Diceros bicornis minor: one gene and its partner. The protein of the gene in region 1 purifies or fractionates together with the protein of each later gene. This does not show direct contact. Links are inferred from orthologs where the notes say so. Each region holds a gene or a part of one and is shown on either strand. Other genes may lie near its edges.

What was found. The genes of interacting proteins can lie anywhere in the genome.
Region 2: the proteins of MRM2 (region 1) and KBTBD7 purify together in Homo sapiens (co-immunoprecipitation; 3 studies listed by BioGRID and IntAct, counting the BioPlex papers as one, with this or other methods). This does not show direct contact. The link is inferred for Diceros bicornis minor from reciprocal best matches to the Homo sapiens genes MRM2 and KBTBD7.

Annotation. Positions count from the first base shown.
Region 1 is NC_080765.1:12,306,217-12,313,972, reverse strand, and holds the start of MRM2 (rRNA methyltransferase 2, mitochondrial), read right to left. Parts: upstream 3,019-7,756; 5' UTR 2,984-3,018; coding exon 2,976-2,983; exon of another isoform or gene 2,940-2,975; intron 1,592-2,939; coding exon 1,302-1,591; intron 1-1,301. Other genes in the region: NUDT1 (oxidized purine nucleoside triphosphate hydrolase), read left to right, coding at 4,708-4,859. UniProt on the Homo sapiens protein: S-adenosyl-L-methionine-dependent 2'-O-ribose methyltransferase that catalyzes the formation of 2'-O-methyluridine at position 1369 (Um1369) in the 16S mitochondrial large subunit ribosomal RNA (mtLSU rRNA), a universally conserved modification in the peptidyl transferase domain of the mtLSU rRNA.
Region 2 is NC_080748.1:35,095,152-35,102,138, reverse strand, and holds the start of KBTBD7 (kelch repeat and BTB domain-containing protein 7), read right to left. Parts: upstream 3,009-6,987; 5' UTR 2,414-3,008; coding exon 374-2,413; 3' UTR 1-373. UniProt on the Homo sapiens protein: As part of the CUL3(KBTBD6/7) E3 ubiquitin ligase complex functions as a substrate adapter for the RAC1 guanine exchange factor (GEF) TIAM1, mediating its 'Lys-48' ubiquitination and proteasomal degradation.

The sequences.
Region 1 (7,756 bases):
GTCGCATTTTTGCAACTTCTGGGAGGAAAAGAAACCAAGTCATGTTATCCACACAATCCTTGCTTCTGCCACTTCCTCCTACAAGTTCAACCTGGCCGCTTTTCCGCTTCTCCTGAAGAGCAGTTAGGGGAACAGCAGCCACTCAAACCAGCTGGTAGCAAGTCTGTGGAGGGGCCCAGCAGTGGAGAAGGAGCTGAAGTTTCTGACACAACTTCATTCACTTGGTCGATAAATAGTTAGTGAGCTAAAAAAAATTTAAACTGTTCTAGAGCCCCTTAAGGCATCCCACCCACAGTAATGCGGCTGATGAATGAACTTGGGGAGCAGCATCCCCAGGTCTATACTTTTAGCAGGTCACTCAACTCCTCTGAACCTCAATCTACTCATTAGGAAAATGGGCACAAATGTCCCCACTCAAAGATGTTTGGGCGAGATCTTTGTGACTGTCACATGTCATACAATGCCAGTGGATGCAGCACCCTCAGACTTCCCGGCAGGAAATACTAATGGTAAGGATATTCACCCCACATTGTGCATAGTAGCAGAAGACTGGAAAGCAACCTTTCCCAGACGAGGAGCCAGGATAACTGCCAACAGCACGCCATTCTCTAGAATACTAGGCAGCTAGTTACAAGGATGACACAGTTTTCTAAATTTTATGGGTGGTTGGTTTATCTGTTTATTAGTCAGGGGAACCTTTTTGATATAGAATATCTTTGACAAAACCCTAAAATATAAAACAGATAAAAGCTGAATCCCTTGGGTTGAGCCAGAGTGGAGAATCCAGAGGCCTGGCTGCGAGGGCTCCCCTGAGCAGCCCCAGCAGGACCTCCAAGAAACCCACGGCTTCCAGCAATAGGATCCAGAAACCTCTGGGGTTGCTTCAGTTGTACTGTCACAGAAAGATGGCAATATATCAGTAAGTGAAAAAAATAGCTCCATTAAGGCTCCAAATCAGCAACAAGAGTGTGGTGTAATATCACTTTCGAAAAAGAAGTTATATATGTGTAGCTATGTTTGCAAACACAAATTCCGGAAGGATGCACACCAACATATTAAAGCACATATTAATGTGGTGTGGTCTGAAGTGGTTTTAATTTTCTTTATACCTCTCTACTTTATCTTTCATTTTGAAAATGTCAGTGTCCTATCTTTACCATTATTACTACTAAACCACCAAGTCAGAAGTATGTGCCTTCACCAAGCGGCTCAGCTGCCCTGTATCCCTGGGCAGAGGGCAGCTGGCTGGCATCTACAGACTCCTGGTGGTCAGGGGCCCTAAGAGCAGCAGGAGGCCCCACCTGTGCCTGCAGCATTGACTCGCTGCACTGCCACCTGGCTCCACGCACCAGGAGCTGCCCCACAGTCCAACACCCGGAGGCCGGGCCGCAGGATCCGGTGCCTCTCGTTCACCTCCAGAAGCTTGAAGGCACTTCGACACCGGTAACTCTCCACCTTCGAAGCCTTCACAAACGGGTCTTTCAAATGCCGCGTCAGCCACAGGTGCTCAGCGCCTGTCCGACCCTTGTAGTGACTCCCAGCAGTGTGGAAGCTTTGATGCCGAAGGGAAGCACACAGCAGCTTCAAGGACCTGATGAGAGAAAAAGGGAGCAAGCAGGTTGGCATCATATAGACCCACAGGTCACGAGCTCAGTGTGGCCCTTGGTTCAACCCAAGCATTTTATAGGCCCAAAAGGGGATGCGACTTGACAAGGCTACACAGCCAGAAAGCAGGTGTTATGGGCTGAAAATTCGTATGTTGAAGTCCCAACCCCTAGTACCTCAAAGTGTGACTGGTCTTTAAAGAGGTAATTAAGTTAATATGAGGTCATATGAGTGGGCCCTAATCCAATATGACTGGTGTCCTTATTAAGGGAAAATTAGAACACACACACACAGGAAAGACCAGCAAGAAGACAGGCCTCAGAAGAAACCAACCCCACTGACACCTTGATTTTGGAAATCTAGCCTCCAGCACTGTGAGACAATACATCTCTGCCCTTTAAGCCACCCAGTCTGTGGCGCTCTGTTATGGCAGACCCAGCAAACTAACAAAGCAGGCATCCACCCTTCAGTCAAGAAGTGTTTCTTCTCTCCTGAAGTTTTCTTCAAAAGGAAAACTCAAAAATCAACAACAGTCACCTTATTTATATCAACCAAAATTTTCCCAGTACTGGTTAATAGTAATGATAAAATTAGCAAACATAATATTCTTTCTCAGCTGGTACTAATATTCATTAGGCTCTGAGACTGTGAGAAACCCCATGAGGACAGGTCCTTGCCTTAGTGACTTAGTTCCATGGCTTCAGTGGCTAGCACATGGCCTGACCTGTCACATTTCTTAATAAAATTGAAATCAACCTGTGTGAATAGTTGAAGGGCCTCTCCGTGCTCTTCACAAGCTTCACTTCTACCTGCAGAGCCCCCTCACCTAACCCCTCCTCTTCTCTCCCTGCACGGCCAGCTCACCTGCCCCTCCTCTTCTCTCCCTACAGGGCCACCTCACCTGCCCCTCCTCTTTTCTCCCTGCACGGCCCCCTCATCTGTCCCTCCTCTTCTCTACCCGCAGGGCCACCTCACCTGTCCCTCCTCTACCCATAGGGCCGCCTCACCTGTTCCTTCCTCTTCTCTACCCGCAGGGCCCCTCACCTGCCCCTCCTCTTCTGAAGCCCTCTACAGCTCTCTGCCCTCCCGTCGCTCCTGGGGAGGCTTCGCCGACTGTGGCTTCGTGTTTGCAGTCCTCCTCGAGCCACCTCGCCGGGCTGACCGTGTCGGGGCCAGGACAGAGGTGGGACCTGCGCCCCTTCGGACGAAGAAGAGTGGGGCGGCCCTGGCCACTCCCGCCTCCCGCACGCGTGCAGCAGGCGCTCCAGAAACGCCGCCTGAGCGCACGGACGCCCCGCTCTCCCCGGCCACGGCCCCTTCGCGGCTCACCTGGCCTGCTCCCCGGACCCCACTCCCCGACTCCCGCTCACCGGGCCATGGGTGCAGAGCTGCTCCGGCCCCCTGCTGCCGGAAGTGCCCGCCTCGCTTCCGGCTCGAAGCCACGCCCCCGGCGGCGGCGCGCATATTCAGAAGGCGCGCGCGGAACCCCAGCCAGCGGAGACCGGTAGTGAGCCGGGTGAGCCGGGGATAGGGGAGGGGGCGAGCGGGCCAGGGGAGCCGGGGATAGGGGAGCGCGGGTCTGGGTTGGGGGGCAGCTTAGCTGAGGCCGCAGGAGATGGATCAAGGACTGGGGTGAGGGCTTGGGGGCGCCGGGCCCCTGGGAGGGACGGCCAGGGAACCTACATTTAGGAAGTGCCCGCGCTCTAAGTTTATTGTCGCTTTCAACCCTGGTAAAGGCCTCAATTTACAGACTACTCGACTCAGAGGCCACATGGCTAACAAGTGGGGCTGCCCAGCCCTGTTGCCAGTCTCCCGGCCCCTGACATTAGGTCGGCTCTCTGAGGACCCGTCTAACCGTAGTGCCAAGCCGCCTGCTCCGGGAGATGTGGGCCAACTAGACTTCCACATCCAGTAGACCCAGGCTTGGGTACTGGCTCCACTATTTAGCCTCTCTGAGCTTCAGTTTCCTCCTCTGAAAATGAAGAAAGTAAGTGTTAGTTTTTAGAGTTGTTGGGTCTATTAAATGGGATAATTTTTGAAAAAAAATATATAGTCAGTGCTTAATAAGTGATAGCTGACATATGCAGTATCCATCCTCATCACCGCCACAGTTTACTTAGGAAGCCAGGACTTGGGGTGTGAACAGGTCAGCGTCAGGACAGAGTATGCAGGCCTAAAGGGAGACTCCGCCACAGATACCCACTTCCTCCACCACCAGGACCCAGCTATAGGTCCCTTTTCTCAAACAGGGTAACTTCCCAGGAGGATCCTGGTCCTGAATCCTGTGTCTAATCTGGTGTGGTCCCCAGAGTAGGAGACTTGTGTTCGATGAGCCCCAGGCTGGGATAGGGATGGATCAACAGAGACCTTGGTCCTGGTTCTCCAGCAGCAACCCAGATGTGACCCTCAGGGTCTCTTGCTGGACCATGCACACGCATTTGAGCAGGAGGGGCCCTTGTGGATCCAGTGCCCTCTCTGAGTGCCAGGTCCCAGAGCAGCAACGGTTGTGAGCAGAGTATGAACTCCTGTCACAGGACGGAGGACCAGCCAGGCCTGGCTGGGTGGACTTTCCACTGTCGGGAGCATTTCTTGGCAATCTGGAGGTCTGCTACTGCAGAGAGGAAGAAGCCAGATCCTAGAAGGCCACATTAATGAAAAGGCCAAAGCTAAAAGCCTGACCCAAGAACCGTTGGATAAACTGCATGGTTATCTTGGTGTCAGTGGGGCACAGAGGCTGGACTACCCTCCCACTTCTGAAGAACAGCTCTGTGCCAAGGAGTGGGGAAGGGGAGATGTGGCCATTGCCTGACCTGCTGCATCAGCCCTGGCAAATGAAGGGCCTGGGCACTGATCCCACTGGGCTCTGAGGGCCAGGCCTCTTTTTACCGCAGAAGATCATTTGTTCAATGGCAGGCTTCCACCTGCACCGGGCAAGCCACACATGGCAGAGCTTAGAAATTACCACCAAGCTTCCCCTCCCTGCCTTCCAATGCACAGTTCTGTTCCAGCTGGACCCTAGTCACTGCAGTACACATGCTTCCATCCACGCCCAAGTCAAGCTGACCCAGCCCTCTTGCCTTCCTCATAGAACCCAAGGGGACCATGGGTGCCTCCAGGCTCTACACCTTGGTACTGGTGCTACAGTCTCAGCGAATTCTCCTGGGCATGAAGAAAAGAGGCTTTGGGGTGGGCCGGTGGAATGGCTTCGGGGGCAAAGTTCAAGAAGGAGAGACCATCGAGGACGGAGCCAAGAGGTAAGGGAGGGGTAGGTCTGAGCCCAGGACCAGCTTCTGCAGGGGATAAGGATTTGAGCTGTAGAGCCAGACCCCTGATGTCACCACTTAGAGCCGTGTGACCTGAAGCATGTACTTAACCCTTGAGCCTCAGTTTCTTCATCTGCAAAATGGGAAAAATAACGGTACCTGTCGCTTAGGATTGTTGTGAAGATCAAATGAGAAAATAAAGAACTTGGAACAGTGCCTGCCACGTGGTAAGTGCTGAGTACATATTAGCTGTTGCTATGGGGGTTAGGACGTATCTGGGAAGCTGCTGTGCACATGGCCTGGGTTGAAAAGTTCTGGCTTTCTCTTTCTAGCTAACAGGCCGGTTGGTCACTTGTCACTTGGTTTCTTGGTTTGTTCAGGGGGTTGAAGATGAGGGTTTCTATCTGAACCCTTTTGCACACACAGTCTCAGTTAATCCTCAACACAGCCAGTTTCACATGAGAAGGAACTGAAACCCAGAGAGGTCGAGCAGTGTGCCCAAGATCACACAGCCCCCCAGACTTCAACCTCTTTGCCCCTCTTCACAGGCTTGTGTGGATAAAATGAGATTGTGTGTGTAAACATCGCAAAGCACTACACAAACCTTAGCTCCTGCTGATGTTCTTCTTACTCTGAAAAAGGTTGGCAACCTGAAGTCCACTCTCCCTGGAGAGGGCAACAAATCCCCAAATGCATACTACCGAGGTTTCTGGAAAGGACGGAAGCTGCCGATGCTGCAGCCCAGTAGCTTTCAAGTTTTAGGGTTTTTTCCTTAAATCACAGCCCACAGTAAGCAATGTTTATACTCTGATATAGCGATGCCCTTACTACATGAAAGCGTGCTCCAATATAATTTTTTTTAATTGCCAGTCACAATCCACTAAGTTGACCTCATGGTGCATGACTGGGTCCCAGCCCCCAACTTAAAAAGCCCTGCAGGTGGTGTCCCTGCATGCACCTCCCCTCCCTAGGCCTGGGACCCAGGGCTGCTGCCACACGGATGCGTCTGGTCGTTCATTTTGGCAAGTGCTAGGCAATGTGGCTGGAACCCGCTGAGAGGACACAGCTGGGAGGAGACCCAGTCTGGGGAGACTCGGGCATCCAGCCCTGTGAGCAGTGCTGGGGTGGGAAGGGTGCAGAAGAAACAGCATGGAAAATGGACAGCAACAGTGGGTGCCAGAGGTCTGCTTTGCCATCCATTTGAATGTCTGTGTCCTCCTGAGACCGTTCACCGGGTCACTGATTTATGTAGCACCCACCACCTAAGCACCGCTCAGTGTCGGGACACAGAGGTGCGGGTCCCAGCCCCTGCGGGGCTCCTACCTGCTCTGGCCCCCGGGTTCAGGGGGCTGTGTACAGACAGCAAGTCTAGTGAACACCCCTAGTGGTCTGGGGCATCCAGCATAGGGAGGGAGAGCAAGTAACTGGGCATGAGGGAAAACTCCCGAAGGACCTGAGTTTGGTCGGAGGGCCGGGTGGAAGGTGGGAATGCAGCACTTGCAGAAGCAGAGGCTGCAGAGGCAGGGCCCGTGCAGAGGAGTGTGGCGTGGCCAGAGGGCCGGGGAGGGAGGGGAGGCCGGATGGACAGGCTGAGACCGCACAGGAGGAGCCCCAGGTGGCTTCACTTCAGCTGTGCTGGTGACAAGCAGACTTCAGGCCCCCCAAGGCAGCCCTGATGTATTTTCTTATGAACTTTCTCAGGATCTAAGGGACTTTCCTTCCTGCCCTCTCAATATTATTCATTTCTTCAGTGAGACACAGACATAAGAAACCGTGACTCCAGACCCTCAGTACTGAGTATAATGGTGGTCTTTCCTAAGACCAGGTCTGAGATAGGGGAGGAACCTGAAGGACAGAGCAGGACACATGTAATTTCTATCCCCAGAATATAACTCGAATCCATCCGGGTCTCACTTCCTCCACTGCCGCCGCATTCAGACCACCCCTTCTCACCTGCACAGGTGCAGTAGCCTCCTACCTGGCCTCCCTGCTCCTCCGGTTCCCTCCGAGGTCCTTCACACAACTGCCTGCTGGGTGACCTTCCTGAAACTACGTCTGGGTCTCTTTGTCTCTGTCTCTGTCTGTCACTCATTCACACATTAACACCCTTTAATAGCTCCCAGCGCACTTGAATCCAACCTCCTGTGTCATCCATTGAGCCCCCCCAGGGTCGGGCCTCACCCCTCCCTCCCATTCCTGCCCTTCCCTCCCCACACTCTGCCCCTCAGACACCCCCCTTTTCCTGGCTCCTCATCCGGCGGGCCCCTCCTCAGCCTTCACATGTAAGAAGGTGCCCCCCACCCCAGCTGTTCCCCGTTAAGTCTCATCCTGTGTATATATTTCCTTCACAGTACTCTCACCCTTTCTAATCATATTTAATTATTCCCTTTCCATCTGTCTTCCCCCAGAAGCGCTCCATGAGGCCAGGTCTGAAGATGTTTTATAAGTCAAATTGGTGTTGAAATATAACATGCATATAGGAACATGCACAAATCTTCACCAGGGAATTTTTAGGACACGGGTCCACCTATTTAACTGGCACGTGGATCAAGAGATGGAAATGGAGCGGGGACCCTGCCCTCTGAAGGGCAGCCTGCACCCTGACTTCTGTCATGGTGATGATTTGGGCCTATTCAAAATAGCACATAAGTGGAATCCTGCAGGATGTACCCATTGTGTCTGACTTTTTCCCAGCATTATGCCTGCAGGTAGCAGTGGTCCATTCGTTCCCACTGCTGTATAGTATTCCAGTTATGAATATGCTGCAGCTTATCCATTCTGTGGACAGGCATTTGGGTTGTTTGTGGTTTGGAGCTGCAAGTAGTTCTGCTAAGATAGCCGTGCACAGTCTTCGGGAGCCCGTGTGAACTTCTTGCTGGTGGATATTT
Region 2 (6,987 bases), on another chromosome or scaffold:
AAGTTAAATTCTTTGTGGCACTAATAGAATTAAAAAGTTAACAGAAGACTAAATTAGATAATCAAAATATAAACTACTGTAACTAACCAAAACAATCCACTGGTGCAATGAATAACTGAACAATGAAAAAACCACCAAGCTTTCTAATCAACGATATAGCTCACTTTTTGCATATTTCAATCTCAACTTTTAGCACAGTAAATTCTTATGTGGACTGCTTAAATTTTGTAACATTACATTAGTAATTCAAACATTACCCTTTCTAAACCAAATCTGTGGTCCTAATCACTTTTTTTTTTTTCCAGAAAAAGGAGAGGATATCTTTTTAAGATACATTCCATAGCAGTAGAAACATCTCGGTGTTTCAAAATATTTACAAAGAACCCTGCTGATCCTGTGCATTTCGCTGAGGTGCTACCTGTACCCAGACTTCATCATCAGAAAAAGAACTTGAACTTCCTGACTCAGAGTCCAGCTCACTGAATCCGTCTAAGTCCCATTCAGTACTAGATTCACTCCGTGCATCATCTTCCTCAGTGATGAAACTCTGACCAGGTTCAAGGCAGGAAGGATAAACCCGAGCACAGAGGCAAATAAAGCCAGAGTCAAATTGCAATAGACCTAACATAGTACCTATATTAATCCACTGGTCTTCCCTAGTATCATATTCATACACAGTCACCCGGTTTTTTTTCCACTGTGGGGTGGTAGAAGTGATGAGGAGCAACTTTTGGCCATGATTGACAATCTGGTAGTTATGGGTCTCTGAGTCCAAGGGAATATTACTAATCCGCCTCCATTCTCCCCTGGCTGGGTTATAGACCTTCATGACTGGGATGTCACAGATACAATAGATCTCATCATTGAAGACACAGGCTTCCTGAAAGTCACTTCGTTTAAGAGAAGCACAGTTCAGCCACATATTGTGGCTAGGATCATAGCAGAGCATGCGTTTACTGTTCACAGCATAAAGATAGTTCTGAACCACTATTAGTTCAAAGGAATAGAAGGAATGGGGTACAGGAGCCACCAGCGCCCACTGGTTCCTCTGAACACTGTAGCATTCCACTTCCTTCAATTTAACTCCGGTAACAGGGTCTCGCCCACCCAAAATGTAAATGTAGCCATTGAGGTATGCCACATCCATGCCCTCACGGCAGAGTAAGCGGTCTGCAAGTTGCTGCCAACTATTCTGGGCTGGTTTATATACCCAGAGGTCCTTCCTGGGCTGGGCAGCTAGATAGATGTCATGGTCTGGAGAGACACAGACTGCTGAGGAGGTGACAGTCTTAGTGTGAGCCAAGCTGGTCAATGGTGATGGCATTGTGTAAATGTCCCCCGAGTACGGGTCATAGCAGAGAAAGGGATCTCTGGGATGTCCAAAGAAGATCACCATCTCCTTGGCACACATGCCCAGCCTCTGGGGTGGATTTTCTGCTGCGGATACAACAGAGCTGCTGCTGTCCTCTGACTTAGGCACCACAGACTTGTACAACATGTCACTGCATCGCATCTGCAGGGCCCCTTCAATAAGGTCCGGACAGTGCTTCTTCACAATGGGCTTGGTCAACAGCCCTTCCAGGTAATCCTGATCTTCATCAGTGAATTGTGTCCAGCGGACACACTTGAAGACTTCTGCTGCGCTAGGCCCACGCTCCTTGGGAGCCGCCTCCAACCACTGCATGGCCACATGACACACTGTCCGCTCACTTTCGATGTCTAGACTATCCAAGCGCAGGACAGCCACCAGCTGGGCCAAGGTCAGATCTGCCAGAGTCTCCTCCCGAACTGAACTCATCCGGCTGAGCTGCTTGAAGTTGTGAGCTATAAAGGACTGGGCCTGCGATCGCAGTTTGTGATGGTCGAAGGCGTCCGCAAACTTGAGGATAGCGGTGCAGTTGGCCAGGTCTAGGCGGCGGGCTAGGAAGGAGGCACAGGCTTCTCGCACATATTCCAGCTGTAGCATGTCGGAGGCCGCGTAGAGGCGCTGCACGTTGGCCTCGCTTAGAGACACGCGACCCGTGTAGCAGTAGTCAACTAAGACCTCGAAGGACTCGGCATCCACATCGTGCATAGTCACGCTCGCCTGCTGGCTCTCGTACATGCCGCCGGTGAACATGCTCTTGAAGTAGGGACACGCGGCAGCCAGCACATTACGGTTGCAGGAAAATAGGCGGCCTGTGCCAGGCCCGCTGCCAGGTGTCACCACCTCGATGGTCACATCGCATAGCAGCCGCGCGTCGTAGAAAGACTTGAGCTGTGCCAGCAGGGCTGCAGAATGGGCCGTGTCCTTCAGCTCCTCCGGGCCCGTGAAAAAAGCCGAAACCGAGGGCTTGGAAATCCTCTTGGGCCGCCTCCCCCCGCGGGGACTGGCGAGGCGGCGAGAACGCGGAGCTTCTTCCCGGGACTGCATGGTGGAGATGGCGGCGCGGTGCCGAGGGCGAGGACGGGTGCAAGGACCGGGCTCTGGCTCCTCCTCACCCTCCTCTCGCCGGCGCTAAGATCGCGGTCTCCCTGAACAGACTGTCGCAGGGGCCGCACTTCCTCAACTCAGCCCTACGCCACGCTGCTGCCTCTCTTTATCGCGTAGACAGTGCCTGACTCACCCTTTTCCAGTTCCGCGCCCTTTCTCCGCCTCAGCTCGCCCTCACAAGATCCGCTAGCCGGAACAGAGAGAGCCGCCACTGCCGCGCTGGCAATACCGGTACGCGTCCAAGAGAACTACGGCTCCCAGGTTGCCTTTCGCGCCTCGAGGCATGCTGGGGCCCTCCAGACTCACCGGCATAGGCTGACCAACAGAAGCCGCTTTGCATGTCGGGAGTAGTAGTTTGAGTAATATCGCGAGGCTTCTTGGGGTGGACTGCTTTAGCTAACAGAATCAAAAAGCGTTAATTCTCCTGGATTGGATGGTTTAGAGCATTGTCTTTGAAGTCCAGAGTAGAAGCCTCGTTTTAGTATTTGTTAATTGTGTGACTTCTCTCTGAGAGCTTTCCCCTCTTTGTAAAGTGGGGATAATAGTATTCATAGGATTGTGTGATGGATGGAATGAGATAAATTGAGTAGGACATAGGATGCTTCAACAAATATTTGTTGATTAGAACAATAATTAATTAAATGCTTACACTGTGCCTAGAATATATTCAATCACTGTTAGCTTTTCTTTTAGAGTTTTTGAAAAATGAGGCACCTCCTAATTTGAAACCATGAGCAATTTCTGCAAAGAAAACTTCCAGCTTTTAATGTTGCTTCTTTTGAAAGGTTCTGAAGGGTACTGCAATATTTTCAATACTAAACTGTATCCATAGATTCATTAGGCTGTCTTTGACAGAGATGAGGTCCTAGTGAATAACATTTATAGATGTCCTCAAATATGCAAATCAGGCTTCTAAATATAGATGGATTGGCATCTCACCAAATCAACACATCTCCTGAGGAGCAAGATTATTTTCATAAGCTCTTAATATGAATGTTTTCTAGTCGTCTAATACTGCTTCTTTCACTTCCTTTCCACAAATCAGTTGAAGATTCTGAAATGTTTTTATTAAGGAGTTTTAACGCGAGTTTTAAATTAAGATATTTAAACAAATAGGATCTTGTACAAAAGCACAAGATCCTCAGAGTTTGGTATTCATATATGCCCTGATGTTCCCTGAATTAATATAGTACAGTCTATGCTTTATAAAAGTATTTTTTATATATATTGATCAACATTGTCTGTTAGTTAAATCGTCAAAATCAAGTGCTTAGAGATTAACTAAAAAAACAGAGAACTTTTATTTAAAAACCGAACTGCTCCTGCTACTAGTTTGCAGTGGTTCCCATAACCCAATGAACGAAATCTTTAGTGTTACACGAATAGGTGGATAACTCATAACAGGAGAATAACTCAGTCAAATTGTTTTTCTCTCTTTTCCTGTTAGCTGAAGAGGGTCTACTGGAAATACCCTAAGACAGAGACATTAAACTAAGTGGGGCTCTGGGCTCCAATATCTCCCCTGTACCTCTGTTGGGTATCCCTCAGATAAACCAGAGAGAATTAAGTCACTAGTAATACCAATTGCTTTCTCACCTGCACTAAACACCAGCTGGGGAAAAAGCAGTTAAAAAAATTTTTTTGTATTAGTACAATATATGTAACATAATATTTACCATTTTAACGATTTTAAAGTGTACATTTCTTGGGCGTTAAATACATTCACATTTTTTTGCAACCATCACCACCATCCATCTCCAGAACTCTTTTCATCTTGCAAAACTGAAACTTTGTACCCATTCACAATAACTCTCCTTTCCCCACCCCAAAACTCCTGGTAACCCCCATTCTACTTTGTGTTTCTTTGAATTTGACTACTCTAAGTACCTCATATAAGTTCAGTGATTGATTTTTAACTTTCTTATATCTGCCCTTTGTTATTTGGTTTAGCTAACCCTTCACAGAATTCAAAATATTTAGTAGACACTGTGCCCTAAGGTCTAGAGCAGTGCTGTCACAGAACTTCCTGCGATGTTGCAAATATTTTATATCTGCACTGACTGATACGGTAGCCAGAAGTCACCTGTAGCTCTTTAGTTCTTGAAATGTGGCTAGTGCAATTGAGGAACTGACTTTTTGGGCCAGCCTGGTGGTGCAGCGGTTAAGTGCGTGCGCTCCGCTGTGGCGGCCCAGGGTTTGTGGGTTCAGATCCTGGGCTTGGACTTATGCACACCGCTTATCAAGCCACACTGTGGCAGGTGTCCCACATATAAAGTAGAGGAAGATGGGCACGGATGTTAGCCCAGGGTCAATCTTCCTCTGCAAAAAGAGGAGGATTGGTGGGGCTGGCCCGGTGGTGCAAGTGGTTAAGTCTGCGTGCTCCGCTGTGGCGGCCCAGGGTCCGCCGGTTCAGATCCTGGGCACGTACCAACGCACTGCTTGGCAAGCCATGCTGTGGCAGCGTCCCATATAAAGTGGAGGAAGATGGGCACGGATGTTAGCCCAGGGCTAGTCTTCCTTAGCAAAAAAAAAAAAAAAAGAGGATTGGCAGATGTTAGCACAGGGCTGATCTCCTCACACACACAAAAAAGAGGAGGATTGGCAACATATGTTAGCTCAGGGCTAATCTTCCTCACGAAAAAGAAAAAGGAACTGAATTTTAAATTTTAGAAACACAGCATTGGTATCAATGCAATTCAATGGAGAAAGGAAAGTCTTTTCAACAAACAGTGTTGAACAACTGGATCACAATGTGAAAAAAATTAACCTTGATCCCTAACTTATACCATAAACAAAAATTAATTCAAAATAGATCTTAATATTAAACAGAAAAGTGAAACTATAAAGCTTCTAAAAGAAATCATAGAAGATTATCTCTGTGACTTTGAGGCAGGCAAAGATTTTTTAGGACACAAAGAACACTAACCTTAAAAAAATTGATGAGGGGCCGGCCCCGTGGCTTAGCGGTTAAGTGCGCACGCTCTGCTGCTGGCGGCCCGGGTTCAGATCCTGGGCATGCACCTACACACCGCTTCTCCGGCCATGCTGAGGCTGCATCCCACACACAGCAACTAGAAGGATGTGCAGCTATGACATACAACTATCTACTGGGGCTTTGGGGGAAAAAAATAAATAAATAAAATCATAAAACAAAAAAAATTGATGAAATGAACTTCAACAAGATTACAAGCTTTTGTCCATCAAAAAGCAGTAAAAACAAAATAAAAGGCAAGCTATAGACTGGTAAAAAATATCTGAAATACATATACCCAATAGCCAATAAATATATGAAAAGCTGCTCAATGTCATTCATCATCAGATGAATGCAAATTGTATTCACAATGAAAAAACTCTGCACATGCACTGGAATGGCTAAACTTAAAAAGATCAACGATACTAAATGTTGGTGACAATAGGGAGCCATTGGAACCCTCATATATTAACAATAGGAATATAAATTGGTATATCCACTTAAAAAAACTGTTTGGTAGTTTCTCTGAATGTTAAATGCCCAATAATTTCACTCCTAGGCATTTGCCCAAGGGAAATTAAAACATCTGTCCACAAAAAGACTTGTACAAGAATGTTCATGGTAGCTTTATTCACAATATCCCAAAACTGGAAATAATCCAAACGTGTATCAATAGGAGAATGAAAAAAATTAATTGTGGTATATTCATACACTGTCATACTACTCAGAAATAAAAAAGAACCTTTGCACATGCAATAATGTAAATGAACTTCAAAAATTTTATGTTAAACAAAAGAAGCCAGATATACAAGAGCACATACTGTATGACCATTTACGTGAAGTTCAGAACAGTGAAAATAAGGTATGATGAATAAAAATCATTATAGAGGCTGCCACTGTTGGGGACAGGGGGTTGGCAGATTGCTGAATTGACTGGAAAGGAACACAAGGAAATTTTGGGGGTGAAGAAAATGTTCTCTTCTTGATTGTGCTGGTGGTTACACGGGTGCACGCAATTGCCAAATTCAATGAACTGTCTCTTAAGATCTGTGCATTTAATTTACTTTAAATTATACCTCCTCTTAGGATGAGCCACTTCATAATTACTGGCACTAAATAAAGTTGCAGAATTCTTTGCCAGGAAAATTGTGAAGATTGTTCAGTCAAAAATAAAATAAGACTCTTCTCATCTAGAGGTATATGGGCCAACATTGCTCCAATTCTCACTAGATGCAGAGCTCCATACACCTGGGACAGGGTGCCTCAGGGCAATCTTCAAGGATTTCAGTGTACTGGGATCTTTCAAATTTGTAGAGTAGCTGAGTGCCCAACATTACATTCTATTATTCTTTTATTCCTGACACAACTTCAGTAACAGCATTATTATTACCTAACTATCTGTGTTTCCTCAAGATTTCTGGTAATTTGCATAATCCTCTACAATGGAATCCACATTCTTCTTGGCAGGAAGATAAAAGAGCTGTTTTTGCCTGATACATAAGCCTCAGTCATCAGCAAGCCATGATTTTAGTCCTTCAAAAAT